Linked DNA regions of Drosophila melanogaster. The protein of the gene in region 3 interacts with the protein of the main gene of each other region in a biochemical or structural test. Each region holds a gene or a part of one and is shown on either strand. Other genes may lie near its edges. The genes, in order: dpr1, dpr7, DIP-kappa and dpr2.

Region 1 (7,589 bases), on a different chromosome or scaffold from region 3:
AATACGAATAGTATATGTTAGCCGACCTTCGAAGGCAGCCACAGTGCTACACTTGCTTTTTACAACATTGAGAATTGTTTTAAATGTTAATGCCGATGCTCTTGGGCTGATAATAAAATGGGGCAAGTGTGGGGAGCGGTGTGTCAGAGTCAACAAATAATTGAGATGTTTTCCTGAGTGTCATCACACACGCTTTTTTTTCTACAGCCCCAAAAAGTGGGTGGCTGGCAACCAGAGTGGGTGGCTGGTGCTCCCCCGGCGGACGAGAGTCAGCTGTTCTGAGTGCGCGCACTTGTGTTAAATTATGCGGGTTTGATTTTTATTGCACTGCCGCTCATTTCATTCTGCTCCCTTTGCTTTTTTTTCTCTCTCTCCCATTTGTTTTGCTTGCTTTGCTTTGGTTTCCTTTGTTTTATAGGTTTTCCCCAATGGGGGGGAGTGGACCGCATGATACCGAAGCATACCCACTGCCCAAAATCAAAACCATCTCGGAAAGTATAAACAAGTTGGAGTGACGAGCACGCGTGTGTGTGCGGCTGTAATGTGGTCATGCCTCGTTGCCCCAACGAGCTGTTGCTTGGCATTTCAATTAATGGCACTTGCCACCCTTGTATCTACCATACCATACCAACCCACTCCTGCCCTCCAAGGGGTCAGCTCTTCCAACGCTGCACTCCTAATGAAGCCGTCTCCAGCTCCAGCTCCTCCAGTTTCAGTTTCAGGAGGAAACCAGCCGCAACCTCATATCTGCCACCAAAATGAAGGTCTCGTCTCTTTGGGATGCTTTGTCAATGGGCGTCGAGATATGCCTAAACACTTGAAAAAAAAAACGATGCAGTATTGAAAAGGATCATAGATTACAATTATAGTTACTTCTGGTGCTATTACTCAGTGATGATTTATTCTGCCATGAATAATAAATCTGTAAGATTTATTTTTAGCCAATGGACCACTAATTTTTTTTGTGTGCACAATTGCAACTTCGCGGTGACACGTGACCGCAAGGACATTTGTTGAGCCTGAATGTGCCGCATCGCACGTCTTAATAGATTTTTGATTTGTTTGCCCACCCTTCTTAGCTGGTAACTCAGACTTCCCCATTCCGAACCCGGATCCATATCCGAATTCGAATCCAAATCCAATTGTGAGGCGGGCGTGCGTCTCTGATTGGAATAATGATTTCGCTGAAGCAAAGATAGAACATAAACCGAGCCAGATTTGTTGTTTTTTTTTTTTTTGTGGGGAGTAACTTGTTTTTGTCAATATAGAAAATCAATAACTGTTTTCGCCGCTACCGTTCGGTTAAATCAGACGAGGGTAATTCAATTAAGAAATCACACAGGAGGCCAGGAATTAGTAAAAATGGAACGCTCAAGGCTCCGCGAAATGGAGGATTAAAAGCGAGTCCTGAAAGTTGGCCATTTCTTTATTTCTGTCTATGATGAACAATGGGATGGTATTTGGGCAACATTTTACAAATTGTTTCAATTAAAAAGTTTACTGACTTTGCTTTTTCGCCTTTTACTTTATCTATAAGCGGCTTGCGATTGACACGTGCCTCCATCGCCACGCCCCCCCGACTGAACGCCTCCTTCGGTTATCGAATGGTAGTAATCGCTTTTTGGGGCCGCTAATTGCGGCGACCTTGATTGGTTGGGTGGTATTTATAAGTCCGCAAGTTGATTGCATAATACTGGCAATGTTTGGGCAGTGGGCCATAAGTCGTAAGCTGGGAAAGCCAAAAGCTGGGCCAATCAATTAAAAATAATCAGGCGGAAAAAGTTCTGGCCAATCTGCACAAATATATGTATATATTTCACAGTCGCTAATTAATTTAATTGATTTAAACGCTTCGGCTTGACCAATAGCAAGGCGAGGGGTTTGGGGGGTGTTATCGAGTGCATTTGATCTGTTTGTTTGCACAAAATTAAATTGACTTGTAATTAAAAGTTTCGCAATTGATTGAAATTCTCGTGTGTGCTTTTCCTTTGTGCTTTTGGGTGGCTGCGATGAGTCCCAGTACTAAGAACGCTTCAGGGAAATTCGCAGCAAATAAACAAAAAATAAGAAAAAGAAAAAAAAAAAAACACTAAAAAGTGCTAATTAGGAGCATTAATTAAAAATGCATTTTTTGTTTGCCGCTCAATTGAACTGCAGAGAACGTGGAACTGTAACAGTTTTCATACACTGGACATTTTCTCTTTAGGCCTGCGGAGTATAAGAGCGGCAGTATAAGAGTATCCCTAACTGACCTATGGCAGGATATTTTTGCGCGGTTTTCTTATTGTTTAGCAGCTTAAATGGTAGTGGGCATAATTAAATATTATATTAAAAACAAGAAGCAAGTTTCATTTATTAAGAAGTAGAACAATTTATTTCCTTTTATGATTTCCCTACATTTTAAAAGCAGAATGGTAAAACTAAGTCCCTAGAAAGTGGAATACAATACTAATATGTTAAAAAAAAGGTTTTATGAGTCTTAATAATAATTAAATAATTAGTAAAGGCTGTAATATAATTATTCATAAGCATTTTATTACAGTTGCAATAGTGCTTTATTACCTGAGACATTATATTCGATATAAACAAAGTTGCTTGGTAATTTCGTGCTCCAATAAGCCGACTGAAGAGAGCGGCTCTGCAGTTTTAGTTCTCTTTGCTCTTACATGTGAACAATATATATGCGAACTTGCCCGAGTGCCGAAGTTAGCCGAAGTCGAGGCGTTCGCCATGTGCCCGAGCGCCGATTACCAGTCAGTTCCATCCTGTGACTCGAAGGCGAAGCACGCGTTTCTTGATTTATGTGCGCGGGTTGTAGTCCCAGTTAAATCCTGTTCAGATATATTCCTCAGTGTTGAGGGTTTCGAAAAAGTGGGCCTAATGAGTGCCCGGGCCTTCGTGTTAATGGCGAATTAATGACGGGGCGATTAAAATGCAATAGCCACATGCATGGGGCGCCGTAATGAGCTGAACCGAGCGACTGAGTACAGTGAAACACAGTGCCATAAATTAGAGGCGCCCACAAAGTGTAGCCTACTGCTTAGCGGCTTTTGGGCTTACGATCTGTTTGAAGTGTTCGTAGACCGTTAAAACCTTTCGCACGCCCACAAAAAAAAAAGTTCTTGTGTAAAGCTCATTTCGCAGCAGATTAACAAAAAAGAAAAAAAAAACAAAACCAGAAAAAAAGGTCAACTCTCAGTGAAAACGAACCAAAAACAGGGCCAAGCGGAGAAAGTACTTTCATTGCTCCCCAGGCAGAGCTTAACCGAGAGTTTTGCCGGGCTCTAATTTGACGGAATCGTTAGTTGACCAGTGACGTTCCACCACCCGGGTGCACCCCCACCACACCGGAATCCGTTTCGCCGGATCCGGATCGCGTGCCAACTACAAGCGTAATAACAATAAACTTGCGGATAACAACCGCAGATACACAGATACAGATACAGATACAGCAGCACAATGTCCCTGCCATCCAGAGCCAATATCGGATTACTCAACTGGCTCATCGGCTGGCTGCTGCTGCTGTCGATGGTTTTGCTCAGAGGTGAGTTGTGCGTCGGGCTTTTTAATTAAATAATCCAATTTATTTTCATTTAATTTCTAATTAAATTTAATTTGTTTGCGCCGCGCTTTGGCCCACCTAATTGCCCCCATGCTCACCATGCCCACCACGCCCATCACGCCCACCATGCCCGTTGTAACCCAAAGACTTTCCTTTGTCGCCTAGGATTTCCCGTCTAATTTCCGGAAAACGAGCGATTTTCGCTGGCCTGGAAAGCGGGCGAATGCGAATTGAAAATTCTTTAATTTTTGTGCTAAGAATTTTAATTCCGCTACAGAGTCGGCAAAAGTTTTCCCTTTTGTCCCTGGCGCAAGTCAAAAGGTGAAGCATTTAATGCCCATCTGTGTGTGACTCCCAAAAAGTGGAGAACCAACAAAATGAAACATTATACAGAGGGAAAAACGAGTGCTCCCCCCGCATCTTGGTTTTAGAATATTTTTGTTTTTAATGCATATATTATATATGTATTTATACGAACTCTTCATGTTTTTTTTTGGGTTAAGATGAGTTAACAAAGTCAGCTAAAGTATATTTCTGTTAAATTATATAATATTACAAAATGTTTTAATATTGGATTTTGGATTGAATTTAACAACACTTTTAGAATATTCTACTTAAACTTTGTTTGAAGTAAGAACTTGAAATACTCACATTGTTATTGTACAATATTTAGTTTTATAGATACAATCACATACAAAAGTAGTTAGAAAATGTTTTAAAGGCTAGTCTACTATCATCTGCATTTAAAACTATTATTTACAGAAAAGCATATATGCAACTAAGTACTCCGGCTATTTGATTTTCCGTGCATTCGTGACCCACTCCTGTCCAGAGTTTTGCAGTCCTAGTTTCGCAGCCCACAAGGTTGGTCCAGTGACCAACTGAAGGGCAGGAGGATGAATGGCGAATGGCCGCATAGTGCGAGTGCGAATGCCACATGCAACGTGTGGGCTGGGCAAACGGTTTTATATAATAGTTTGCAACAGTGGGGCACAAGTCTCACTTTCAATGCATCAAATGAGAAGCACGCGCTTGTGATGCGCCGCGCCACAGAGATAGAAATGTGGGAAAATAAAAAGTAAATATGAAAAATAACACATACTAACGAGCGGCAGACACTTGGAAAATGCTGTTGAAGCTTGGTCATGGCCAAAATGCTTCTGGCTGCAGTTGCACTTGATGTTGTTGCCGCTTGCGCAGCAGCAGCAGCAGCTGCGTTGCATGTGGCACGTTGCAGTTGACACACGAAACTATTGCCATTGGGCTTGGCTTGGCTTTTTGGTTTTTCAGTTTTGGGGTTTAGCCGCCTGTTTGCTGCTTTTAAGTTTGCACTTTTTAGCTTTCAGCGGCTAGCAATTTTCTACTTTCCGTTTTCAGCTCGTCGTTTGTCATCTCTGAAAACAGTAAATTGCATTTTTATACAATTTTCCATCATTTGACTTGGCAGTTGTTCGTCTGGGCTTTGTAATTTTCAAATGAAATACTTTCCGAATGCAATTCGCTTTTGCGCAAATTGTTTCCTTCGTCCTGCTTTCCTTTGACTTGGCTGCTTCTTTGCCTTCTACCCGCCTATCTTGTTAGCCCATTGGCATCTGTCTGGCCATTTCATTTGGCTAAAAGCTACTTGAAGTTGGTTAAGCGCAGACAAACAGACGAAATAACTCATCTTGGCAATTGCAGAACCTGCAAAAAGGCAAGCAATCAAAAAAGATTCCTATCGAATTACTGGGCAACCGATTTTCCAAGGATTTTCTTTGGTCTGGGTTTTATTTGTTCTCTCACAAAGGTGATGATTATTACTTGTAATGATATATTGGAATTAAAATTATTTAATACAAAGTTTTTGGGCATAAAGATGGTTTAAGTTGATTGCAAAAGGCTAACAAGTCAAAATCTAAAATGTAATTTTTCACTACTTTAGCATGGACAACTTTGACAATTAGCCATATTCACTTTTTAAGTACCAATATTTTATAGTTAAATTTGCATATTATTATGCAGATTATTTTTATTTTTATTATATATATATGCATATTGGAATTTTTTGAGGCAAATTTTCGGCCGGCTGTTTGATTCTTTTTCTCAAATTAATTGACAGGGAAAAACTCGACAAATGCATGCGCATATTTCCATAATGAATTCATAAAACTTTCGATCGTGTCCTTTCGCGAGCTCGTGTTATTTGGTTTGTTGGTTTATTAATAAATAAATTCTGCCCTTGCGGTTTGGCTCTTTGTATGTGTGTGTGTGTGTGCGTGTCACTCTGTATGCAAAATTGCAGTTATTTGCACAGCTGTTTTGCCATATAAGCCAAACAAACGATTTTGCCCTTTTTCACCGCATAACTCGCATGTGCCGTGTTTTTTGACCTCCCCCGCAGCCACTATTAAGTATTTTTGTAAATATTTTCCATGTCGCCGAAAAGGAAAGCAAAATGAATCAATGGCGAAAAAATGATAATAACCGACGTGATTTTCCGTTGAGTACAGTTAATACAGAAGCAATGCTGGGAAAATATACATATACATATAATTGCTGGCGAAACAATTCAGCGTAGGCCGGCATCATTCAGCGGTGTCAGACTGATGAATGAGCCGACGCATTGGCCCAGACAAACGCCTAGGAGAGCACGCAATGCCCATCCATCCATCCATCCACCGTACTGCCATCCATTTCGTTCTCATTTTATCCGATGAAAAACTGACGAGGCGGCGCCTCAAAGTATGCAAAGCACATACTCAAGGGTTCGCAGGATCTGTTTGCCGGCGGGTACAGGTTATTCACACAGGCAGCGGCGTGAAAACCCGACGGATTCTTCATCAAGGCCGACCAACCAGATTTGTACCTTATCTTTTTTTATGCGTATAAATATAAACATACTTTTGGTTTTCACCCCCCAAAAAAAAGCTGCTTGAAGAAACAAACTTAGCCCGTTGTTGATTTTAATGGAATATGGCTTTACAGGAATTTGTGATGAATGGGTGGTTAAAAGTTCCACCGGAAGGACTCTAGACTATATTTGGCTCAAGGAGTTTGGAGGGAAAGTCGAATGGCATCATTAATCATTTAATAGACCAAGGACTGTACTTGAGGATGGTCAGGGATTACAGAAATCTGGAAGTCATTTATTAAAGTAATTTATTCACTTTACAAAGTTATCTTTTAACTGATGTATGAAACATATTTAAATCTGGCTCAAAATAATAAACTATCCCAAATCCCAAATCATTGGTTTAACAGAGCTTTGTGTAGCAAGCCATGAATAACTTTCTTAAACATAAGTCTTATGTAATACTTCAATATATTTAAGTGTCGAGCGAGTTTGAGTAGTTAATTAGGCAAAGTATTGTCAAATAGTTTCCTAATTAAACTGCTGGCACAAAGTTTTTTTTTCGGGCCAAAAGCTGAAAAGTTGCGCAAGTCGTTGACAAGCAAGGTATATATATTTTTTTAGGCAAATCCACAGCTTTTCAAATTATGATTCCCTTTCTAGGCGCAGGTCAAACCAACATTATTTTTTTACCGCTGCCTTCGTAACACTTATGGATTTGACATTTATATGACAGCCAAGGTTTTCTTGTGTGCAAGATTGTTGTTTCTGTTGCTCAAGCCCCTTGAGTGTGTGTGCTTTCGTTTTCGTTTTTTTTTTTTTAGGTTTTCGTCAGGAAAATATATAAATGAAAATTGTTTTTATTTTGCCCCAATGGCTCGGCATCCATGTGCGTAAGATACATACATACATGAGCATTATTTTTTGATTCACTTGGCACAGCGCTTTCTTGCTAACTCAACTATTTCGGTCACGTAACTTTGGAGCACCAGTGCAGAGAAAACCGAATCAGCCAAGAAAGAGGAAAATTTATGCATTTGATTTCAACTAATTTTCAAAGTCCAAGCATGGCTGCGAATGTTTCTGTTGTGTTTTGTTTATCGTTGGCCGAATTATATGCTGACATAAATTAGCCAAAAACTAGAGTGGTTTCGCCCACCCACTTTCCATCATGCCAATTTCCTTGTGGGCCTGGTT
Region 2 (10,703 bases), on a different chromosome or scaffold from region 3:
TTGTGCACTGGGTGATGATGTTTGATCTGGCCGAACTGTTTTAGTTCCAAGTAAAGTTGTGGTTTTGTATGCATCACGAAGTTTAAGATAAGTCTGCAATAATTCGATGACTCGATCGGCAATATGATAATCTTTGGTTGCATCAACTGTCTGTTTTCTGCGGCTAGCACTTGCATGCCTCAACAATGGTTTTAATCTCCGCTTAGAACAGCTGAATGCTCCTGGGTATGATGTTCTGCGACTCCATAAAATAAAACTTGGTTCAGATAAACACACCCGTTGAAATTGATCTTCAATTAGGTCATGATTACCTGACCCTGTTTGGTATCCATCAGGAATTAGCTTACGGCCTGCATCTGTCATATATCTCCAGGTTTTTCGAGTTAGAAGCCAGCGCTCTCGCTTTTTTTCCTTGTCTTTTGTGCTGCGACGACGCACTTTATTTGGAGAAGCCACTCCTTCGGAGTGCTCACTCGCAAAAATCATTGGCTTACGCATGCTGGAGGCATTTCCTAATGGCAACGACCATATTTTCGATACGTCGTTAGCCTCGTCAAGTGCTATATCTAACGGCCCCGACCTTTTTTTAACGGCCGCCATGGGGCTCCTCAAACAGTTCACAGATTCTTCGTTTTCTTTTGGAAATTCCATATTTTACGCTGACGCAGAGATTAAAGGTCAACAGGTCTTTTTTTATTGCGATTTTATCATAATAGTGGTGTTTTTAGTACATATGTTTAAGTTTTACACTAATTTGGATTCATAGTAATTGTCACCGCATCAGCACATAGCATATTTTCACAACGATATTTTCAAAAGGCAGGTTAACAATTATACGAAGAGTTGCAAAGTAATATACTAGGTAAAAACACCAATTTATTTATAAATGCGTACATATATTTGATTTTCTCAGGAGAGATTTCGTATATGTACAATAGAATTGGTATCTACACATGTGAGTGACTTTATTTATATTTCAAAGCACACAATATTTATATTGAAATTCTGGAATAACCAGTACTTCTGTATAATTTTATCAACAAATAGTAACTATGACACCTTGAGGTTTACGATTATTTATTTGTTATTTAATTTTTATATGTCATATTATTGATACTATTTATTTTCTATTTAGACACTGTTAAACCTCGAAAAATAGCACAAAATGCCTGGCGAGATAGCGTGTACATAATAAGAGAACATTATTTTCAGAAAAAAAAACATAAAAATATTTCGAAGTTCACGAGATATTATTTTTGAATGTATTTATGGTACAAGAGCATCCCGCTTGTGATCGACTAATGTGCATACATATACACGTTCTGAAAACAAACTCTTTACTTTTCTTACTTTTTAAGTTTATATTTACAAACAAGATTTGTACAAAAACATATGTATACAATTTCATAATACCTTGTTATCCCAATTGTCGTGCTTATACCGGACAAACCTAAATTCAATTGGAATTTGTATTTTCGTTTGCAATTAATGTACTGTTATTTAAGAATAATACTACTATTGCGGTAGAGCTGATGAGACATTACATTAGGTTCATGTAAATACCTTGACCTGAAATGGTGTTGCCTTCTATAAGGAAAACAAATTATACACTTTTGCAGATGTTTAGTCCGAAGCGAATAATTGGCCTTATGTATGTGTCATGCTCTGTGCAAGCTGCTAGTTGAAAAGTTATAGTTCTATCTGTGTGAAGCTACATTTTGAATTTAAGAATTGATTTTCAAAAGGAAACACCTAGATGTTAACAAGGACGGTGACAGTTTTTAAGGGAGCGAAACTGAACTTTATGTGAACTAAACTAACTTACACTAATTTTCAAACAAGTCAACTTAAAACTAAAACAAGAGAGAATGCTATAGTCGAGTTCCCCGACTATCAGATACCTGTTACTCAGCTAGTGTAAATGCAAACGCGGAATTTTATCATTTTTCTGAGATATCGATAGATATTGGGGAATAAAATGACAAAAAAATTAATAATAGTTAATACTATTTAATAATAATAGTAGAGTGGGCGTGACCGGTTTGGGGCTTTAGGGCGGGGCTAAAAGTTTTTTGGCAAATCGATAGAAATGTACAAGAATAATAAAATATTGGAACAACATCCAACAATTTTTTTAAAATATGGGCTGTATGTTAAATCTCTACCTTCTTGGTTTTATGGTTCCTGAGATTTCGGCGTTCATACGGATAAGGCTAGATCGACTCGGTTTTTGATCCTGATCAAGAATAAAAATGTATATAATATAATAATATCATATAATTTATGTAGCCGGAAACGCTTCCTTCTGCCTGTTACATACTTTGTAACGATTTTAGTATACCCTTTTACTCTACGAGTAACGGGTAACGTTTCCTTTTCTATATCATTTAAATTTACGAGTAACTGGTATAATAACTTATGCATTTTTTTAGGATAAATTCACAATGTATGCTTACATTACCATTACCGTTTTTGAGAATGTAACTGTCAGTAGTAACAAATTTGTTCGAAATTTAAGGGGTAAAGGTGCTATTGTCACGTTTATCTGATCTCAGTCTCAAATTGATGTGTACCATTTGTATTCCGCCCATTGCTTATATTATTAAGCCGTGTTACTGAGTCTTAGCAATAAAAGGAAACTAGAGTACTTAGTATATGACTTCAAAATGTTAAAATTAAAAAATATATACATACAAATAATTATAACCTACGCAATCTATAAATATATAGAATCTATCCTAAATTGTAAGATAACACATATGTACATATGTGACAATGGGCATGCGCGAATATTTTCAGGGTTGCAGAATATTAAAAATCTGTATACAAGTCGTCCTCACAGAAACACTAAAACGTGCTGCTTAGGGGTTGTTAGAGCTTACCGTTGAAATAATAATTGTCGATGCCAACGAAATAAGTGTAAAGACTAAAAAAAGTATATAAAAATTGAAGCCAGCAAGTATAATTGTATGTATATTAAAAACACAGATCTAAATACCGAAAAACAGAATATTATTTGAAAGTCCATTAAAAGGATAAAAAATCGATGCCGATACAAAGTTGTTCTCAATAAAAATCTTGCGCCAATACGTGCTCTCGCGTGTGCTTAATATCTAACTTAATTATATACTTAACATTTATTATAACTACATAGGTATATGGAATTCTACTCTAAATAATGCATATCTGTGAAAGACAAATGAATTAAAGCAACATGTCGCGTGGCAAACATGCCACATTCTTGAATAATTCGCCAATTAAAATCAAACCATTCATTATTTTAGTCTTGAATTTAAATATATGGTGTCAATACATTAGTGCAACTTCATATTTAAGCCTGAACGGTAAGATACATTTTAAATTAAAAGTTTCCCACTAGAATGATAAATATATTTTTACCCTTGCGGGATTTTTTTTTTAATTTTGGTTGGACCCATTTTCTTCTGCAACGTGTAGAATGAAAACATATAATGCATTCCTGAATACGAAGACAAAAATTATACATGTATGTACGTATTGTACTTAACAATATTCAATTGTGAAATTATACGCAAAAGTATTATGTTTAAAAAGCCATTGTATTTAAATTATGCTAAATTTAAATCTAAAAAATAATCTTAATATTGCATTTTGCCCATAGTATTTTTACCACCTGAAAGCTTGCTTTGCAAAACATCCTTCGAGAGGAGCTTCGGTTTCTAAAAGATGACAACAGTTTCATGTCTCGCCCCAAGCTCTTTCACCAACAAGTGTAACCACTCTTTATGATCGACCTATCGCAAAAGATTTCGCGCATGTATATATAGTTGTCGCAAGCTCTTAGTCTTGACCGACACTTCCGTCCATAAAAAGATCGAAACTTTAAATTAAAATGTTTAGCTTCTAGATAAGGGGCATATAAAATTATTTTTAGTTTATACCTGCAAGGGTATATACGCTTCGGCTTGAATAATTTAGCATCCGTTTTCGTTTAACATAAAATACAAATTCATTTTAGACCTAACCAATTTGGAGCGACCTTTCTTTGATGATATTAGCCCAAGAAATGTGTCGGCCGTAGTCGACGAAATCGCAATATTAAGATGTCGGGTTAAAAATAAAGGAAATCGCACGGTAAGTCATTATGGGTTCTTTCTTTTATTCTTACACATAGGATTATATCGAAACATTTTTATTCGTTTGAAGAGCACATTCGGTCACATGGTAAAAAGTACGACTGTACGAATTAGTGACGGAAAATTGTTTGAGGGGGAAGTAACCTTAAATTTCAAACTAAACTTGGGGACACACCAGGAAAACGTTTTATTTTTTAAAGGCAGTTTTCTCCCAAGGATTGCTAGCTTGCGCTGTCTTTTCGCTAGCCCTTTTCAACTCTCCTCCCAAATCTACGTGGGAACTTGCCTCCATTTCCATCGATCAAGCTTGTTTCGAGGCCTGTTCTCAATTTGAAAATGTGAAAAATTCTTTTAAGTCTCATGTTTCTCTAGCAAGCTTGCCTATATCTAAACAAATAGGATTAGGAATAAATGATTACATTTTGAAATAGTGAAAGGGTTATCAGATAGCGGAGGACTTAACTTTCCCTTGTCCTAAAATTGCGTATCTATTTAATATTTCTTATAAATACTTTTAATTATTTCAGGTATCATGGATGCGTAAGCGGGATCTTCACATTCTTACAACGAACATTTATACTTACACCGGCGATCAACGATTTTCTGTAATACATCCACCAGGCAGTGAAGATTGGGACTTAAAAATTGATTATGCACAGCCAAGAGACAGTGGCGTATATGAGTGTCAAGTGAATACCGAGCCTAAAATAAATTTAGCAATTTGTTTGCAAGTAATAGGTATATATATAAACATTTATTAACAAACAAAAAAAAAAAAAACAAAATAATAACTGTGGAACTCGAGTACTGTATATACAAAACTAAATTTTGTCGTTGAGCGACCATAACAAATAATACAGAAATCAAGAGGCAGAAATCAACAAGTCTTGGCAATTAAAAATTTTAAATCTGAACACAAATTAGTAAAGTAATGAGTCTAGAGTATTGGGCAATAAATAGCTGGAAATGCATATTCAAATGCTATCTATACTGTTTAAACCTATTTTATCTAAATTCAACAGGTTAAAGACTGCAGCAAAAGGAACCTTTTGACTCTTTTGATAATTTTACAAAAAATTCCCCGACTTTTGATATTAAACACATTTTCGAAAATTCGCGATTTTAAGTTAGAAAGCAACAAAATCAGTCAATTTTCACAGTTGACATGCGTTCAGCTTTTTTAACAACTAACTAACTAAATATTGAGAATTGATCTACATTTTCTTGATAAAGAACTTGATAAAGAAAGTTGAGCTTTCCTACTTAAGAACCGACCAAAAACTTTACCCGCACGGTACATGAAAGTCGAGGAGTTTTTATAATCATTACTTTTAATGTAATAGACAGAAGGAAGCGTTTCCAACTATATTCAGGATAAATACCCGAGTATGTCCTTCCGTCCGTATGAACGTCGAGATCTAAGGAACTATAAAAGCTAGAAGTTTGAGATTAGCATACAGATTCTACAGACATACTGCCAGGCCCACTCTAACTCCCACAAATCAGTTGGTTTGCTAATTTCTACCGATATGCCGAAAACATTTTACCTACGCCCACTTTGAACCATAAAACACGCCCAAATCTATCCCGCCCACACCTTAGGGAATTAAAATTAACTTTTTTCCCAAGTTCAATCGATATTCTTGAAAGATGTTAAAAATTCTCGGACCGACTTGGGTCTCATTCTCTGGTTTTTGTTTGATTCAGGTTTTAATTTCACCTGGAAGAGTTCATAAATATGCTTACCCCCAGAAAATGTTGTATTAATTTAATTACTCATACTAAATTTACTTTTGTATAAAATTTTAGCTGACAACGACTTTCAAGACCTTAAAACTAAGAAGCGGTTTTACGACACAAAGTGTAAGGCCTTTTATAGCTTGCTTAAAATTAAAATTATCTGTGATATTTTAAAGCGGCTCGAGCAAAAATTCTTGGATCTACGGAAATTCATGTAAAACGGGATAGCACTATTGCCCTGGCTTGCTCTGTTAATATACATGCACCATCTGTGATTTGGTAAGAAACCATGATCTTTGTAAGAGATTTTAACAACTTATTTTACTATATCAAAGGTATCATGGCTCATCAGTTGTTGACTTCGATTCACTTCGCGGTGGAATAAGTTTAGAAACGGAAAAAACTGATGTAGGAACAACGAGTCGATTGATGCTAACGCGAGCTTCATTAAGGGATTCTGGAAACTATACATGCGTTCCAAATGGAGCCATTCCAGCTTCTGTTAGGGTTCACGTATTAACTGGTAAACATAAAATTATTTCAATTTAATATGTTTTTAAATATTTCATTGGTACAGGTGAGCAGCCTGCAGCAATGCAAACAAGTTCTGCCATTCGGATTAGGGCTTTCACTGCAATGATAACTATCATATCAACAAAAGTGTTGTTATATATTTCAAGTCTTATGGAGCATATGTATCTAAGAGAAAGATGACTACCAATATAATTTCCATTATAATATATAAATAACATTAAGGTAAGATAATAGATTTTTATCAACCCTATATAGTACGAATAAACTCTAGTTTCGCGTTTTGCCAGCTGTTCTTTGCTTACAAGAAAGGAATAGTTTCCTTCGTATTTTCAACCACGCGTTGACACGCCTACTCTAACCGCCCAAAACTGCCACACCCACACTTTTGCAAAATTTTTTGATATTTTTTTTCATTAGTCTTGTAAATTTTTATTGAGTTGCCAAACATTTTTTTTCCATGGCCACTAAAAGTTCACTGATTTCTGGCTCGAGTCCAAGGTTCAGCGCGGTACCGTTAGTTCACGGCATCCGCTTTACCAGGGTTTAAGATCCACTATTTCCTGTTAGAGCTGACTTTAACCTTCGCCTTCTTCGCTGGTGCTCCCCGGATTTGTGGGGAGTTTTAAGACTCCTCACAATACATATCTATGATACGAAGACAAGGAGCTCTAACTTCAAGGGTTTAGACGACATGCAATATAAGATGTAGCTGTTTATCAGGCGGAACCGGAACATCGTTTCTTACTTGTCGATAAACTGGTTTGCAAGCTGAGAATAATTAAATTAAATGTATTAAGATTCAATCCCCGAACCTAATCAACTCCAATGTGAGGTTCTCTTATCCCTGTATAAATACAATGTTAATAATTAAGCCTTCAAAAAGTCTATTAGCTTTCAAAGCGAACGTTCGTGTTTTTTTTTTTGCGACCCGATTTTTATTTCGTGTTTGTCCAACCAGCCGTGGTTTTTAATAATCTTTTTTAATTATCAAATATTTTAAACATAATTATTAAAGATCCGTTCGCTTCGCGAGTGATTCTTTTGTGATTTGTGCAGTTTGACCCCAACCTGTGATTGCTTAAAATTCCGAATTGCCTGCACTGGTTTCTTAACCAGTGATTCCACCTGTCCCGATTAGTTTACCACCACAACGGAACATTGAGTCCGGACTAACGGCACAAGTTGGCACTTCAGAAATACAATCTGCAGGACCAAAACCCCTCGCGGTGGTTCCACTAAATAAACAAATTTTCGTTTCTCGGCTTTCCCGTGATGAAACATTGTCTGATGTATTGTCTTATATACAAGACAAAACAAAAGCCGATAATATAAAAGTGGAAAAGTGTAACTTCTCTTACGCTAGGGACAGATCAAAGGCACTAAAATTTTCGGCCCGAAATCGTCTTCTAGAACAACACGCACACATATACGCGTTCTCGTCTCTTGTTTTTACTTGCACAAGCAAGCAAGTTCTATTTTAAGATTTCTTACGCTCTCGGCGTAAGCTAGCGGACAGAGAGCAATTTTGGCCGTCACCAAAAAAGTGGCGGCTGCATAGTGCCAAACCAATGTATGGCCGTTACGCATCTTGTCATTGTAGTGTCTTTGGTATGACCGTCCCTCCAGACGGGGAGGTGGAGTCTTAATTGCGGTTAGATCTATCCTCTCGTCAGAAGAGTTACTTTTGGGCGATTCCCGTAACTCGGAATTCTTATGTGTAAAGCTGTAATTTTCCGACAGTTCAGTTTATATTACGTGCTCGTATATTCCGCCATCTTCTGAATTCCCAGAATATAAGAATCATCTGTCCGATATCCAGTCCATCTTGAATAAACTGTCTGACAGGGACCAATTGGTAGTTCTAGGTGATTTTAATATACCTGGCACAACGGGGTCCCCAGAAGAAAAATCGAATATCCTTCTCCCTTTAGCACAACATGACTTTATTGACGGCTTGCTCGACTTATCTTTGTCGCTAGTTAATTATATTCCAAACTCTCTTGGTCGACTGTTGGATCTATGTTTTGTAACAAGTCCTGAAAGTGTGTTTCTGTCCAGGGTAGACCCTCTTACTCAACCTCAAGATCCATATCCTACTTTCGAGGTGGCAATCGACATAGGTAAGGTATAAGTAAATTCAGAGAAGTCAACCAAGCGAATTCACTGTTTTCGCAAGGCAAATTTTCGTAGGCTAAACAATTTTATAGCTGGCTTTAATTGGTCCGATCTTTACTCCTGCAACATAATGGCGGATACGATTAATATGTTTTATATCGCAAATAAATCATTCAGAACACTCTTGTGTTCCTTTAATAATATAGTTTTTATAGTTAAGAAAGTTTTTAATGTGCTACAGCTTAATGATCTTTAAGAATAAGGTTCGAGTTCCTCCGATATATTGCAAGCCGCCCCTATACAAGACAACATCCAAGACATTAAAGTTTAAAGTAAAGTTAAAACATTGTTTTAAAGAGAAAAGTGTGGGTCATGTGGCAATGCTAATTTATTTAAATTATAATAAATGAAATGAAATACATTATATTTTTTCAGATGACCGCGTGTTTACGGAGAAACCATTGTAAAATCGCGCTCTGTTTATGCAAATACGAACACTACATGTAATTCCTATAGTACTATGAAATAAAAACCTATAATAAACATTAAGTCTTTCGGTAAGGTTATAGATCTGGAAGAGTAAGTACACATAAAAATAAATACCTTCTATTTCAAATCACTATATTAACGCCGACATAATCGTTTATTTTATACATTTGCTTTTGAACGACTAGTTCAGTGCACTTCAGTCACTTGTGAATTTAAAGTGTTATGTTAATTTAGGAGAGCTGAGAAAGAGGTCAATATATGTGAACATAGGGTGTGTCGGAATGTGGGCTATTATCTTGGACCCCAAGCAACATGAATGACAGTTGGGATGTATATATATACCTCTAAATTATAGTAAATATGATTTAAATTAAACAGTAACGACTACTGAATGAAAACGTATGTTGCGGAATCAAGTTTGTTCGGTGTTCAACCAAAAAAGCAATTCCTAGGTGCCGTACAACATTAAACAATTTAGAGTTTTAAGCAGTTTTACGATATTGGAGAATACTTCATTTTAATTTTTTACGTTTTTGGGGTTTTAAATAATTTTATCAAACAAATTTTTTTAATGAATTGTTATTATGAGACTTATATGACAGAAGAATGCTTAAAATGTTGGCGCGAAAATAAAGATAAGTAAATAATGTGCCATCGCTTACTCTGGATTGCTTGCTAGTTTTTAAAGATAAATGAAATTCTGAAAGAAATCAGCTTTTTTTGTCTTGCACGGCCACCATATTTGGTTTATATGTCTGGTTTCAGGGCGTATGATGTTTGGCATAGTAAGCGTTGAAAAGAATGCGGGCTGTCTTGTGGTCTACCTTTTCAACTGTGTTTATTGCAGTCAGTTCTTTCTGCTTGATAAAGGCAAAATGGGCTATTATCATTTATAATTTGAATGTTCCAGGTAAAAGAAAGCGTTGGGATCGGTTCCAAAAAAAATATTTATAAATATTCGTGAGCATTCGGAATACTCTTCTAAACTATAGCTTGAACAACCAAAGGTTTTTTTAACATTTAAACATAAATCACTTGTTTAAACCTAATCGCTTACCTGTAATATACCATGAAGTAACGCCAATAACGAATAACAACAAGAGAGTAAAGGAAAAACCTCCAGCTCCGTCTTGTGAAAGCAATTGATATAACGTAAAATAAAAGTCATCCACAAATCCTCGTTTACCAATAAAGCGCCAGAGGTATTTTTAAACATCTTTAAATATTAATTTCATCAAAAGGATTAAAATTTTCCTATCTTAAAAAAGCTTGGCAGGTGAAACAATTGCATATATTTTTCGATGTAGTACTATTATAATTTTCAAAGGCAAATAAACAAACACATTAAATATATTTTATAATCGTGTAAGTAGTTGGCATATGTCGTAAATCGCTTAATTGCTAAAGCAACCTAAAAATCAGAGTACGGTAGATTTCCAGGTAAGTTGTATTGGCTTGAATAGGACTGTTGCTTGACTGGTATGGATCCCCAACCCTTGGCACATTTGTTAAAGGTTTGCACGTGGTTTGGCAGCGGAGAGGGAGAGCCTCCCTGTAGCAGCACAGATCTTGGAGGCCAGGAAGTCTGTTCATTTAATGAAGTTCCAAAAGGTATTGGCGATGCGTTGCGTACTTGAGAGTTTTGTAGCGCGTTTAGGTACTGTGGACTTCCACTCGTCAATCTTTTCCTATCAGGCTGTTCATACCTAG
Region 3 (7,594 bases):
CATCCACAGGTAAAAATACGTTCAGCAATTAGGCATGTTAATTTATTTGTAAAGCATAGCTCGCTTTTCGAATTATATATACATATCTTTTGCTTTGTTTATTTAATTACCATAAATATTTCGACATATTTTGTACGAATCAATACTTTTTAAAGCGAATCTGCTCCTTTAGCTTTGATTCCACTGTAAACGCTTATCAGAAGCATGGAGAGCAATAGATGTCACCATTTCTACACATCTTCAGCACTAACTTTTCCTTTATATAAGAGCTTTTGTAGTTGCAACGTATTATTTTTAGCATATGCTTGAGACCTCATTATCGAAGTAAATATATGGGAAGAACTCTTAAATCTTGAAAAGTCCCTTAATTTGTAGTATGATTACTATTTACGGCATCAGCATTACTTAAGATAAATATTACTATTAACTCTATTGCAAATGTATATGTTTATAACATGTTTCGTTAGAGGACTCTCAATATTTTATATCTGTATTTCAGACCCCTCGAAGAACTGAAATTTGTATAGGCCGAATGTTGTAAATCGCTGCCATATCAGTGGTAGTAAAGCTCGATAGCACAGTACTAATCATCCAAAGGTAAATCACCGAGGGCAGCACAAAGGAAAATGTGGCGAGAAAAATGTGCAACAGCGACGGCCTTCTTTGCCAAGGCTAAAAATGTGAATGGGCCAGCCCAACACAAAAACAGCGGCAAAACGCAAAACACAGTACGGCGGCAGTAAATTGGCGGCGATAAAATTGAAATCCGCTGGAAGCTGTGCTAACCGATTTGGCCCAGTCCTTGGACTTTGGACCACCTAGAGGTGCAAAAGGAAAAGCGAACAAGTCGGCGCGTTGAGTTGTGAAAACCGAACGGAAATAGCGGCCATAACTCGCCAGTTGGAGCCCAGAAAATAGCAATGGAAACGCCATTTGGTGGGATTTTTCTTTCCCAGGACGCTGTTGCCTGCACGAATTGATTTGTCCTTGTGGGAGGCAATATAGGGTAGCTTTGATTAGCGGAGATTGGCAAAGGTTTCAATAGCGCCGCATGATCGATTCACAGGGAGTTGGTCGGGATTAGCAACCATTGTGTGTACGAAAAACTAGTGTAAATGACTTTTCTGAACTTTTCTTAAGTATATGTTTTTATTAAGAACAGCTTTAAATGTTTTTAAATGTCAAGAATATAAATAGAAATATATAACGAGGTTTATTCCTTCTAAAGAAACGGAATACCCAACCAGTCTAGATCCACTTGTATATATCACCTGAACTGTCCAAAAACTGCTAAACGATTTATTAAATTTATGTATCTTTCCATGGACCAACATCAATTTTATTTTCTTTGCGGCGAGAATGTAATAAAAATGTAATGATATTTATTAAGTACTCATTTATTTGATTAACGGCGAAAAAGAATATTTTTATTCGAGTTGAAGAGTTTCTTGGGTGGAAAGGTGTAAGATTTGTTAGTTACATATACAATTGAACATGGGCTTTTTTTTTTCGTACCTGAATATCTTATTTTAATCATTTAGGTACGTCTTTTCATTCCCCATGCCAGTAATAATAATAATAAGTCTAAGAACTTGGCTGTGGATATCGCTTTTAACATGATTTTGTCATTTGGGTATATTTGCCGTTAACTTCAGTTCAGCAGCAATTTTCGCACTCAATGCAATCAGCTTGTTTTTCCTTCGGCTGATTGTTGCTAATGCGCTCTAAGTAGCAGTATGCCACATGCCACGCCCATGCAGTTGCCCGTAGTAATCAATTGCTCCAAGATGGTCCCGAAAAGCCGTTCAGTGCGCCATTGGGAAGGGCTCTGTTTCCTCTAACAACTCCTCTTTTTGTGCTGGCAATTTACTGCAATTGCATCGGAAGCAAAAAAAAAAAAAAGATAAACTTTCGTTTAATGCCCACACTTTTGGGTGTCGTTTCCAGCATGACACCAGCAGAAAGCAGAAAATGCTATCAGATTTCAGCTAAATGCTGATCCCTAAGGAGCAATAGACGACTACCGTGAGAGTGGAGATTGGTAGTATTTTGAGACGAAAGCCATTAACTCAATAGCTGAAGCCGAAACTATAATAGTCTTACCATTTTAACTATATGATTTAATGTGTATAATTGCTAAATAACTAAGCAGTTTCTTAATTAATTATCCATTAATTTTCTTAACTTTATTAAGGAGTAGATAGATATAAACTCATATGCACAAGTATTAAACAATGACCCGTTGGTCAACTTAAAAGGTCCTGGTCAACATCATTGGATTATCCTTTTTGGGCCCGAGCCACTATTATAACCAACAATCCTACTCTTCCTAATGCTCACTTTAGAGTGACGGTCAAGGGGAATTTGTGTCAGTTCCTGATAAAACTTTTCTAGCTTTAACTCAAACCAGTCTAACCACTCAAAAATGTTGAGAGCTCAGGGACAGTAGCTATTAGTTATTTTACTTTCCTGTTTAACTCAGTTGATGTTGTTGTTTATTTTATTCATGGCCAAAACTGCTTGCCGGGAATTTGGCTCTTTACGTATATGGATTCAACATCGGTCAGATGGCTCGTCCTTTCCAATCTGCCCCCGACTTGGTTTTAAGTTTCCGAGTTATGTTTATCTAAATGTTGCCAGCAGCCAACGCTGCGTATGTGGAATATTTTTTATTGTAGCTACCAGTCTGTTGAGGCCAGTTTTCAGTTGTGTGGTAGCTGCTTTTGACATTGACCAAGGGGTTGGAGGCCATTGGAGTGGTCGGGCATTTTAGTGTGTGTTCGCCAGATAAGCCAATTTATTCAGTTGTTCTTTTTAAATATGCGTGTTAATTTGGCTGTGAAAGTTGAGCATGGAATGAGTTCGTAGGTGGTTTGGGATGGAAAGTCAGAAGTAATTGTTCATGGTAGGAATTGGCTCATTCTCTTAGGTCATTCAAATGTTTTCACTCAAACGTTTCATTGGGGTAGTTATTTTTATTAAAATCAATTGTGTTAGAAGTTTTTTTAAATTCAAAATTGATGTTATGTGTGGAAGAATTCGTATTAAATCATTGCAATTATTTGATTTTAAACATAATATTTAATTTAATGAAGATATAACACACTTATTGGTTCAACGCATAATGAGATGTTAATAATCCATATAATCTTAAGCGTAAGAGAAGAGTAAATAGCTTATAGTAGTAGGACTTTCCAGTGAACAACTCTCCGGCACCGAGAGTTCATTCCTTCTCTGAAACGGATGAATTTCGAAAACCCGAAAGGCGGCCGAAAGCCGAAGTCACTGGCGTCACGAATTGGCATCGTCGTTTGGGGCCATTATTGCAGTGGCTTTTCCACCAATGAAGTCGTCCGACCGTTCAGTCGTGAATCGGGCTTTCAACTGAACGGACGGACTGTGCCCACAGCGAGGGTCGCCACGAAACTATCTGACGTGCGAGTTGCGATTCCACGCGAGCGTTCTACGCGAAATGCTACTCGGTGCGTTGTCGTTATCCTTGCCGCTGTCGTTGGTCCTGCCGCTGTCATTTGCCGGATTTTGGCAGACCTCGCCAAAGTTGTGAGCGAGTGAAAGTTTTTTGTGCATTTGTCGTGCGGTGCGACTTCGGTTTACCATTACTCTTGCATTCGCAATTGCGTGCTCAATTCAAAGTAATTATCAAATTGTTTGTTGTTTTGCAAAAAAAAAAAAACAGAACGTGGCTCTAAAGTGCTGGTCCAACCTTTTGACGACATGTGCCACGTTTGTTTGCAATCTGAAAAACTTTTGTGATGGTCCTTTAATGGTGACGATAGATAGGCTCATTGTTTTTCAGTTACACCTATTGGAGATTTGACTTAAGTACAATTAATCGTCCAAGGTTAAAAGTTTTAGTTTTTTACATTAATTAAGTAAAATTATTTATTTTACTACAGTAAAAATACATTTTTAGAGCTTAAAACCATTTTATTGTCGTTATTTGACTCATAATAATTAACCAATTTCATACGAACTGACTAATTTACTTAAGATTCTTTTTTTTCATTTTAAACACTCGATTATGGCGCTACTTTCTTTCATGACGAAAATACTTTGCACTTGCCACGGCAAAGCAATTTAACCATTATATATGGGTTTTACACTCGAAATAAATTGAATGCAACTGTAATACCCTAATTTGTCAGAAATTGTGCAAAAAACCGCAAATATCCCGATACCAAATCCTTTTACTGGAATGCAACAAACTAAATGGCCATAAAAACCGCTTACGAACTGTGACTGCGGAGAAGGGGCCAAGGGATGGGGATGTTTGGCCATGTTGAGACACAAACAAAGAGCCGCCATGTAACCAGCAAAATAATTTGTTGCAATAAATATTTGAAAATCCAGTTAAGCGAAACATTTTCGTCACGAAGAGGGTCGCGCAGTCTAAGAACTCGGCAAAAAATGCACTCCCAGCCAAGAGGCAGGAGGCATAGTAGGGTATGGAATGGGTATTGCAGAAGTCCTGGTGCCCCAGGAGTTGGGTTGTTAAGTGTACCCGAATTTTTACTCGAGGAAGATGGTTCGCTTACAGGGTAACCAGGATTATATAGACAGAAAATTACAAGATCCCACTGTGTAGGAATATTTATATTATACAGCGGGTAATTTATGTAATTAAAAAGGATTTTAATTTAAAAATATTTTTTTTTTGTTTAATTATGTGTAAAATTAAATAACATAATTTCAGACATATTTTTACTTTACAAATTATACCATTTGACTTGGTACTAGAAAGCAAAATTGAAAACTTTTTAGTAGGAAGCATAAAGTCTTATCAAAAAATTCCCATCGCTCTATCCTAAAATTTTGTTGGTTTTGTGTGGCATTTTCATGCAGTTGCCGCTTTTTGCATGCCCCGCATGCCTCTGCCGACGTTGCTGCTGTTGCACGCCGTGTTGCATTTTGTTGGTGGTCCTGTGCCGCCGGGTTCTTCGACGTTTGTGTCTCTATACCGGACGCTTTAATATTAAAAGCGTTTAAAATTTTCGTATATTTTCGTCGCCATTGTTCCGTGTTCTGGTTGATGCCCCGAAACGAAAAAAAAAAAAAAACATAAAAACAGGGCGGATTCCTTCACCCTGCGATATCCGCAATCCCTTTGTTGGGAGGTTGGGATAAAATAAGGGGCGCTTGTTGCACCGCTGCGGGGCAGCAACGCTAACAAGCTTTGTTATGTTGCGCCATCCGACCGTCGCACTTGCTTTCGAGTTTGCGTTTGAGTTTGCTCAACGTTTTGCCAACTGTGCGAGAAAGTCGCCCGCAGCGTCGGAAGCGGAAACGGAAGTGTTGCCATTGCCATTTTGCTGGCATCGCCGTTGCATTTTCGGTACGTTCCGCTTCCCGTTTGTGTCAGTGTTGTGATGGCGTCGTTATTGTTTTTGCCATGCCTCTTCGATCATACTCCTTTCTGGCTTTCCGCCTGTGAAATGTTGCCTGCCACTGTCCTTTTTTCTTCGACTGGCGAAAAAAAGTGGGTGCACAAAAGTTTCTGACAGGTGGTTTGTGTGTTACGTGTTTGCTGTTTACTTTGTAATCATTTCATTTGTCAGACTTGATTTGCCAGCGAACACAGCGTTGACAGCTTGACGTTGCAAATTGAGATTTTGAGGAAAGTAAATTCACGGGTCCGCAGCAAGACATTCCTGCGATATCCACAAATCCAATTGAAAAAGTTTTGAAATTTCTACACAAAAGCAATCGAAAGTTTTACAGAATTAAAATTCATTACATAATTTCCATTTAATTTTACATGCAACATTATTCATAGGCTTAAGTTTAAATTATATCTTTATTGAAATGTCTTTAATTGTTAGCTTGTCATTAAAAAATGCTATATTCTATATCTTCCTTTTAAGTTTGAATAAAAAACGTTCTTCTTTGTGTAAGATTTGTCTGCACAACCATAAGGTTAAAGGGCAATGTTAAATTAATGTTGAATTTCCGCCGACAAATCAAATTACTGTCTGTGTGCTGTCTGAAGATATTTAATCCGGCTGAGCCGAAGTCTTAAACGCTTCAAATTAACGCACAGGCAATGAATTTCGACGGTACCGTGGAATGAGGACTCAAAACTCAAAGTTAAGCAAACAAACTTGGCTCAAAGTCAGAAGTCAAAAGGCCGTGGCACCAAACTATGTAGGAAAAATGCGTGTAAACAGCAGCAGCAAATCACTCCACGCATCCGGATCCGCGTTCGGGTTTTGACTTTGGGGCCGAGGCCCCAGTTAAGTGGTGGCAAGCTGGCTCGTCATCGTCATGGGGCCACCCAGTCAGTCATCATCATCATAATCGCCATCATGACACTCCATTTCAATCGCCGTTGGTGTTGATTACAGCCCCCTTGTTGTTGCTGTTGATTACGCGACGTTTAAGTGATTAAAGGTGAAAACATTTGACGGCCAGTGAATATCAGGCTTGAACATTTGGCAACATTTTGTCCGCCGCAGTGTTGAACTTTTTCCGTTACATTAACCTTTGCAGAAGAAGAAAATTAAGGTAAAGGATTTCCATGGCCATGGCAGGACCCCACCGCCTGCCACGCCCACATACACGCCGCCGCTTCCGCCTACAGGCGGAGTTTAACGTCCGGCAGTTGGCCATCACGATAATAGCCACTGCCGCGGTTACCATGCTGATGACAGCCACGCCCACCCTCGCCGAAATCCCCTCAAAGGGTAAGTGCTTTGATAATTTAATGAGCCACTCTTGATGGGCTTCTTAGTTTGATTGATTGATTGACTGATGAACCGAGCGGGGAAAGTCGAAGTATAGTGACAATAGAGGAACTTATTTTTGCTCTAAATACCAAGTGATATTTTACTGGGTTTCAATATAAGCTAATTAAAATAATTGAGCACTTGCAAAACGTAATTTCTATTGGGGTTCAAAAGCTGGTGGAATCTATTTTGAAAACGATTTTCATTAGCTGTCTGAGTAATAAGAAAAGTAATTTTCGAATTAATAATAAATCAGCGAAATAATATGTGTATAGATAATTAAGTTAGGCAGTTCTCAACGCTCATGAATTTTGGACGATTCCTGGGTAAAAAAGTTGGCAAAAGTTTTCTTTCAATAAATGACTCAGACCATTATGTGTGCAGTATATTATCAAAAAGACCTTCATTGAAAATTCCAAAAGAAAAATATTTTTTATTGATATCGATTAAAATTTAAAATCTTTAAAAGCCTGCATTTTATTCCTCCTCTGGCCAAGCCTTTGCTACAGTTACAGGTAAAACAACTTTCTTTTATTAAAACTTAATGGACCTCGATATTTAGATCTGCCCAGAAAAATGTATGTGCCATTAAAAGCAATTTCGGAAGAGAAAATAATTTCAGTTTTTGTTCGCTGCTGCTTTGCAGCAGTTTCCCTGCCTTTTTCAAAAGGTTGTTCACATCCAATTGGCCAAGAACAAAAATTGCACATATTTGAAATATTTATGAAAACAATTTTCCATTTTCATCCGGCCGTTCGGAAGGGGCGAGTGTTTTATTTGCATATTTGTGAAATTTATCTTTGGCTAAGCAAACGAAGAGGCCGACAGATACGGCGTAGAAAACGCTCAAG
Region 4 (7,245 bases), 2.8 Mb from region 3:
ACGTTTAAAGTAATTAGTAAATATATCTAATTTTGAAGACCATCACAATGAATGAATACATGTTTTCTTCATTAAATTTGTGCAAAACCTATACAAGTGTTCCTAAAAATTGAAAAAAAAGTATCTACACCAATTAAGCATAGCCTGCATATTGAATATAAATGTTTTTAATCTGGACAAAATGGTATTATAACTACGTATTTCCAATTTTTAATTATCCCCATCCTCACTCGCGGTTTTAGCTTACTCTTAAATCTTAGGTCATCGAGCTCAGTCGCAAAAAAAGCTCAGTTTAAAAGCTCAAAAAGTCTCGTCATTCTTTTTAGCAAACACAATTGCAATGATAAACACAATAAATAATTAAACATCTTTTGCGAACAGCTGAGGAAATCTAGAAATACTCTTCATAATCGAAACTCATTGAAATTAAGTTAGAAAATGGCTCAGGTTAAACCGAAAAGTAACAAACAGAGCGGCAAACCAGTGCCGGCCGCCAAAAAGGTAAAAAATTGAACTCAATCAAATGATTCCACAATATCAACTATCCCCAGCAATTAAGATTCTTAATAATTTTCTAATTTTGTACTATGTAGAGCGTCCAAGAGAAGAGCAGCGCGCAGCAGAAGAAGAACAAACAGAAGGCCGCGGCAGAAAAAAAGAAATGCGGATGCTGCAAGTGGACCTTGGGTAGCATCTTCATCATCGCCCTGATTGCCGGAGCTCTGTACTACGATACCGAGGTGAACGGCAAGGGCGTGTTCGAGAAATCGGCCACCGGCAAGGTGCTGAAAAATGCCGGAGTCCTGCCGCATGTCCAGAAGTCCTGGTACACGGTCATGGGGGCCGGAGCGCGGGGCTACAAGTGGGCGGAAGTGAATGTGCCGCCGTACGCCGAGCCGGTGATCAAGACCACCTGTGACCTGTGGAAGCTGGCGAGGAATGCGGCCTGCAACGCTTACCAGAACGGCAAGGGATACTTTGGCGCCAAATGGCCCGTTGTGGCAAAGTTCGTAAGTGTCTTTTAGTCGCCATGAAGATGAGGTCATGGGCAAACCAGTTTTGAATTAATAATACGTTCCATCTATATTTTAGATTGACCAATACGTGCCCAATTCGTCTGGCAAAATCGAAGCTTTTGCCGCTGGCGTTAGCGATTTAGCCGCCAGCAGCTATGAAAAGGCTGCAGCGCTCATCAAGGAAAAGGTGCTTGTGTAAGTATGCCTGCCTGCCTGGCCTTTGTTGTCTTTGAGAATGCATCCCTTATGATTGTGATCTTTGTTTAGTGGCCGTCTCTCGCCCGAGAACATCAATCAGGCGCTGAACCAGACGCGTAACGCCGCCCTGGAGTACTACAACCAGTTTCACAAAAAGGTCGACGCATACGCCAAGCTCAAATGATTTTAAGCGTCAGGAACGCTTACTTCTCGAACAGCAACATCATCAGCAGCTGCAGCAGATGCAAACAGAATACGCGTCATAGTAAATAGTGAAGGAAGCCCTAATTTTTCGCAAAAAGTTAAAAAACCGGAAAATGTTCTATAAGTCGAAACTCAAGAAGTCATTCACATTTATCAACAACTTCTCGTCAAGTTTAATTAAGAAAAAGCAATACGAGCAAATCTTTGTGGATGCCGATAGTACACTAACAATCTAGTAAATTCAACCTCGATACTGATAAATTAGTGAAAGACACGAGAAATTTTCTGTTGTAAAACATGTGTTTAAACATTTTTCTCCAAGTTGAGAAAACATTATTTTTAAATTCGTTTACAACGGCATGAGAGTTTTGTGAAAAGTTCTACCATTGAAATTTTGTAATTGTAATTATTAAAGTGCGTTTTTTGTGGCGATGCGCGAAGTGTTAACTCTATTGTGTTAACTGAACTTAACAATTCCAACTGCATTTTGAAGGCAAACAATAGATTCAAATATTTTTATACTTTTATTCATAGTTTTCTTGCATTTGTGTGTACATTTCTGTAGACTCCTCCCCAATACTTGCATAATAGCGCGATACTTTTGATTTGATTTTAAATCTCATTTGTATATTTAATGGAAAACACGATTTTGCATAAATAAAATAAAATTGAAAGATGTGAAGTAAAGGCGTATTTCTCAATGTTTTTCTGTGCTTGATTATGTTTTTGGGGGCATATTGATGAATCGTAAGATTCTGAACACACCTGTTGGCATTGGCAGCATGGCTTGCACTACACACTTGTTTAAATTGGAAAAGCGGCTTGAAAGCAGTTTTTATTTCCCAAAAGAGACTAGAATTTAGATCAGTAATATTTCCTGGGCAATTTTTCTAGAACAGTTCTCTCGAAACTAAGCAGTTCAAATGTTTTGCAAGCAGTCCAAGAACTAAAATTTCCCTAGGTTTTTGTTACCCATATAAGCAGTGAAGAGAAATTCCTAAGCAGTGTATCATAATTCAAAGCAGTGCAAACAACAAAAAATTGTTGCGTATTTGAAAAATAACACCTTTAAAGTTGAAGAAGTTTTAATTATATTTCTAAAATATTTATAAGCTTTGGTATCTTCATGAAATGGCATGATTGGATAGAATCTTTTCCTAATTGGTACAACAAAGTAGGGTTCTCATTATAGTTGCTTAAATTCTCCCCGCAAAATTTCCCTTTTAGACGTTCATCTTGGAGACAGTCGCCCCTTCAAATACAAGGATTTTCCCGAATTCGCCGCAAAGTCACCCGTTTTCGGAGTGCGGGAGTGACAATAACAACCAACTCGTCGTCCTGTTCGTGGCTGGCAGGACTCGGTTCACATCGGAACGATTACTTGCAGCGCGGAGGAAACAACAATACGGAAAAGCTCCGGCCTCGGATGCCGCAGTATCAAATGAATTTCAAGTCGCGGCGCACGTGTTTCGTCCTTTGGCGCGGATGTGACTACGAGTCCTTATCGCAGATTGTGGTCCTGGCCACGAAAGGATATCTCGTAGTTGCCGCATTCGATAGCGGTGTCGCGGTTTCCCAACTTTCCCAACTGCCGCATCTGTTTTTTCAACTTGTGCGCGAGACGACACTAAGATCGTTCGGCTTCGATTTCGCTCAGTGTATAATGCTCTTGAGGCAAAAGTGAAGTTTCGAATTGGAGGCCGCTTTATGCGGCCAGTGAAAGATATTGTCCCCTGAATTAATTGTCTGTTAAAAACTAACATTGGATGTTTAAATGGTTAAATTCATGGGAAATATTCGCCCTGCTGCTGCTGACACCAAAATTGAGTCGAATAACAGCTTTAAGTACATTAATATTAACCCACCCACACTGCTCTTTCGCATTCAATGTGGCTCGATTTTCCCTCCTCGAAAAGTGGAGCACAGATAAATCAGAGAAAAACATTTATTTCTCATCGGAAATGAACTCGGACGGGCGACGTGATTTAATGCCAATCGAAAATGCATTTGTTACTCAGGTTTCTTGCAAATTATACGCTTAGCGATAGGATTGAAACACAGAAAACAAAACACATTTTTTACAGACTTCAACTGAAACTCCAGACAGTTGCATAAACAACAACCAAGAGTTTCGTGCAAAAATAAATGTTAAATCAAAGTTTTTCCAAGTTGAGATGGAAGTTTTTCCAAGTTCTTCTTCGCCTTATCTGCTTTTGAAGTTCACTCGCATTTTTCCTCTGAAATCCAGGGCAGAATGAAAAATCGGAAATATGTACCTAATGAGCACGTGTGTTACGGATTGACTTTGAAGTGAGTCCTCATTTCTAATGAGTTCTTGTGGTGATATGAAGTAGGAAAGGTAATTAATTCACTAAACCACAAAAAAGTTAATGAGGTGATGCGGAAAGGTCAAAGTTGTTCCGTCAATAAATAAACTTTCCACAGACAGTCAATAATTGGTGTAGTTTTGGACTTTTAAAACTTTTGCAAACATGTACACATCCATTTGTTAGCACTGGCTTTGATTTAAAGCATTTTTTGCACATATTATACTATATAATAAAGTATAATTACATTTAATATTTAAGCAAAAAGGCAAAAGGCCGACCTTGTTTTAGTAAAAACTCGTTAAGTACGACAGTAAAAAAAATTTTAAGGAAAACTTCTTGGACAATTTGCCAGCTGCCTTTAAAAGGACTCGACAAAGGCCAAGGACCTCGCAGGACTCTTTGCATGTGGCATTAATTAAGTGCCGCTTGAGGGAATAGTATTAGATGAGCTTGTCTCTCATTAATCTTATAACCTTATAAAGAATGGCTTGAATAGGGAATAGCAGTATATACATATGTCCGGGGACAGCCCCCAAAAAAAGAAGACATTGAAATCGAACCGTTTTCCTCGCTCTTTTGGCCGCCTTTCGTGTTTTTCTAATTGAATTTTCTTTCGAGCTTTATGCCTTGACTTTTCTCCTTAAAGATCAAGTGGTCTCCAGGTGCTTTTGTGGCTTTTTGGCCGGGTGTCCAGGTGATTAATGTGCAACCAGGTTTGCTTAATTAACTTGCATTTATGCCTGAAGTACACAACGGAAGACAAAAGCCAGTTGCTAAATTTGATAAGTGGGCTTAGTTGAATTTGAGTGACTCTGCCATAGAAGTACAATATATATCATTAATTAACAGCAGACTGTACTTGTGGCACTTAAAATGGACTAGCCTAAAATTATAAATGCATCATTATCGCGATGAAAGTTTGGCATTAAATTATCCAAAAAGTAACAATACATATCCAAAACCACTAAATTCAATTAACCAACGATGCCATGAAAATAACAATTGCAGTGCGCATTTTAAGCTGATTCCATGTTAATTTTACCACCATTGTTTGATTGGCATCGCAACAAACAACAACTCATTACACAACTCCAGCAACGGTTGAAATCATTTAAGTGCTGTGGTAATGATAACTGAAGGGTGGGTCGAAGGGCATGGAATCGATATTTATTGAATACAATATCTCTTGGATCGTTCGTGGAGCACGATTGTAACGTGAAACAAAGCGCAGTTTGTGGAGAAATTAACATTTTAATTGGTTTTTGACCCTTGCACATTTCGTGAGTGATCAAGGCTACACCTTTCAGTTGCACAATTTATGTGTTTTATGGCCAAATAAAAAACTATTTGAGTGCGGCTTGCGGGTTGTAAATATACAAATTGCGTTGGTTAAAACTGCTCCTGTGACATGGTGGCGATAAGCAACTTGCCACTACAGACAATATATGAGGGCTTAACAAATACAAACGTAAACATTCCGAAAATGTAAAAATAAATTAATGCCGTTGCAATTTGATACAGGATAAATGATGTGAATGAAGGACATTTATAATGAAGGCCTACGGTTAATATCAATGTTTGCTTCAGTTAAATGCTGTACGAACATGGAATTCGATGGACGAAATTGGTTTTTCACATACCCCAACTATAAACTTGGCTATATATGGCTTGAATCCTTTAGAATTTGCAAAAAAATATAACTATTTAATTATATTCTTGTCACAAAAAAAAAAAAAACACTTTTATAATTTTTCAATGATTTATGTTAAGTTAGGCAGCAGTGCAATGAATGGCTGCAATAATTCAAATTAATTCATTTCAAGTGCTTTTCATGAATATTTCACAAATAATAGCGTTAATGAAAATGTTTCCTCCCTCTCTTTATAGAATGCACTTCAAAAACGATTTAGGAACCAAACCATTAGCAGTAATGTAAACCAAAATACGTAAACTTGTGGGGCTAAATTACACTCATCTAACCGCCATTGAGGTGAATAAATATAAATAAGTAAGATCCGGCTCGCAGGACCATGGCTATGGAGGGAAAATGCTTCGGTTGCATCGCAACGCCAATCCTCGTAATAATGATAAGCATTTCGAGAGCTTGGACAATGCAACAACAACACTTGAGTCCTGCCATCCAACAACATCCTGCAGTCAAATCGTTGTGTAAGTAGATCTCACTCGCAATTCACACATGTTCAATTTAATAGTGCACATATAAAAGCATATTTCAATACCATCTCTAAGATATGAATTATGAATGTATGTGCTATAAATTAACAATGACCAACGGCCGTAGTTAAGTTTATTAAAATTTTACATATCATATACGTATTTACTAATCACAATTGTAAGCCAAAATTGACTATCAAGGAGGAGGCACAAGTTAATTAGTTGACTTCATTTCGTATGAGGCAGACGGTAAATAGCATAATATATATCCAGAAAAGTCACTATTGAGAAATGACTTAGTTTCCTTGATAAATCAAATATGGTATCTTTCCTCTTCCTGACTTCATTCCCAGTGTATGAGCGCCTTTTTTTTTTGGCCTAATGCAGTAAATGCCTAAATCAATTATGGCCAGCAGGCGAAACAGAAAACTAGGGCGAAAAAATAGGCAAATAAACCAAATGAGCGAGCAAAGAATAAAATCTACTTAGCACATGTAGACTTTAATTAAATCATGGCCAAGAGCAGAGTGAGCACTCTGACAGGAGACACCGACGAGCCATCGCGACCTTCATCCTAATCTGCAGACACCCAGCCGGGGCACATCCTTCGCCTCCTTCTTGGGGTGAGGGGGGGGGGAGGTCTGGAGGCGGTTCTGAGCCCCAAACTCTGTTGTGTTTGTGGCTTTCGGGCGAAGGAGGCTAACGCACGATGGATTTTTATGTTTATGCTAGACATTACTTGGCCATGTTGCTTACTTTCGGTACCCAAAAAAAAAAACAAGCAACTATAATGCTGTGCAATCTGTGGGCGAATAAAAAGGTAAAGTCTTGGTCTAAAGTTCTTTCATCAATCCATGGAAAAATATAAATTTTAAATCCTTCATTTTAAATCTATTTCTCAGTTATCTGATATTTTATTCCCATAGCACTAGCTTCGTCTTAAATGCATTGCAAGTGTAGTTTAAAATGCTTTGCCTCAAATTCCTTGGATATTCGCCTCACTTCTCCCTTTCAATCTGCCCAATAAACCCAGAAAAAGAAACAATTGCTCTATTTGTTAGCCACCTGCATTCGTGCTTGCTTCTCCGTTTTGTCTGGGTTTTTCCCCTTTTCTATATAGCTTCGGCTTTGCCTTCTGCTTCTGCTGGATGGCTATTGACTTTTCTTGGCTAGTGACTTGGTGATGTGGGCAATACCAGAGGGAAATAGCCGTCATAAGGGAAACTCAGCCGGCTGTTCCACACCTTGTCGTGTTTTGGGGCAAAAGTCAGCCGCAAAAGTGCAGACAACCATGTCGAAGTCGAGGTGCAGGCGAAGATGGG

Evidence for each region.
Region 1: the proteins of DIP-kappa (region 3) and dpr1 form a complex in vitro, tested with the Drosophila melanogaster proteins (one study listed by BioGRID).
Region 2: the proteins of DIP-kappa (region 3) and dpr7 form a complex in vitro, tested with the Drosophila melanogaster proteins (one study listed by BioGRID).
Region 4: the proteins of DIP-kappa (region 3) and dpr2 form a complex in vitro, tested with the Drosophila melanogaster proteins (one study listed by BioGRID).

What each region holds. Positions count from the first base shown.
Region 1 is NT_033778.4:20,695,727-20,703,315, forward strand, and holds the start of dpr1 (defective proboscis extension response 1), read left to right. Parts: upstream 1-2,756; 5' UTR 2,757-3,459; coding exon 3,460-3,544; intron 3,545-7,589.
Region 2 is NC_004353.4:245,465-256,167, reverse strand, and holds dpr7 (defective proboscis extension response 7), read left to right. Parts: upstream 1-2,838; 5' UTR 2,839-2,967; exon of another isoform or gene 2,968-3,154; 5' UTR 3,155-3,214; coding exon 3,215-3,344; intron 3,345-3,456; exon of another isoform or gene 3,457-3,457; coding exon of another isoform or gene 3,458-3,509; intron 3,510-3,997; coding exon 3,998-4,113; intron 4,114-4,642; coding exon 4,643-4,853; intron 4,854-5,924; coding exon 5,925-5,978; intron 5,979-6,031; coding exon 6,032-6,134; intron 6,135-6,190; coding exon 6,191-6,378; intron 6,379-6,432; coding exon 6,433-6,569; 3' UTR 6,570-6,611; intron 6,612-8,939; 3' UTR 8,940-9,044; downstream 9,045-10,703. Other genes in the region: RhoGAP102A (Rho GTPase activating protein at 102A), read right to left, coding at 1-651; CG1674 (uncharacterized protein), read right to left, coding at 10,405-10,703.
Region 3 is NT_033779.5:13,713,080-13,720,673, reverse strand, and holds the start of DIP-kappa (Dpr-interacting protein kappa), read left to right. Parts: upstream 1-3,353; 5' UTR 3,354-3,653; intron 3,654-6,362; exon of another isoform or gene 6,363-6,507; 5' UTR 6,508-6,535; coding exon 6,536-6,701; intron 6,702-7,594.
Region 4 is NT_033779.5:10,959,758-10,967,002, reverse strand, and holds the start of dpr2 (defective proboscis extension response 2), read left to right. Parts: upstream 1-2,849; 5' UTR 2,850-3,777; intron 3,778-5,635; 5' UTR 5,636-5,778; coding exon 5,779-5,917; intron 5,918-7,245. Other genes in the region: Tmem214 (transmembrane protein 214), read left to right, coding at 594-1,010, 1,093-1,211, 1,284-1,398.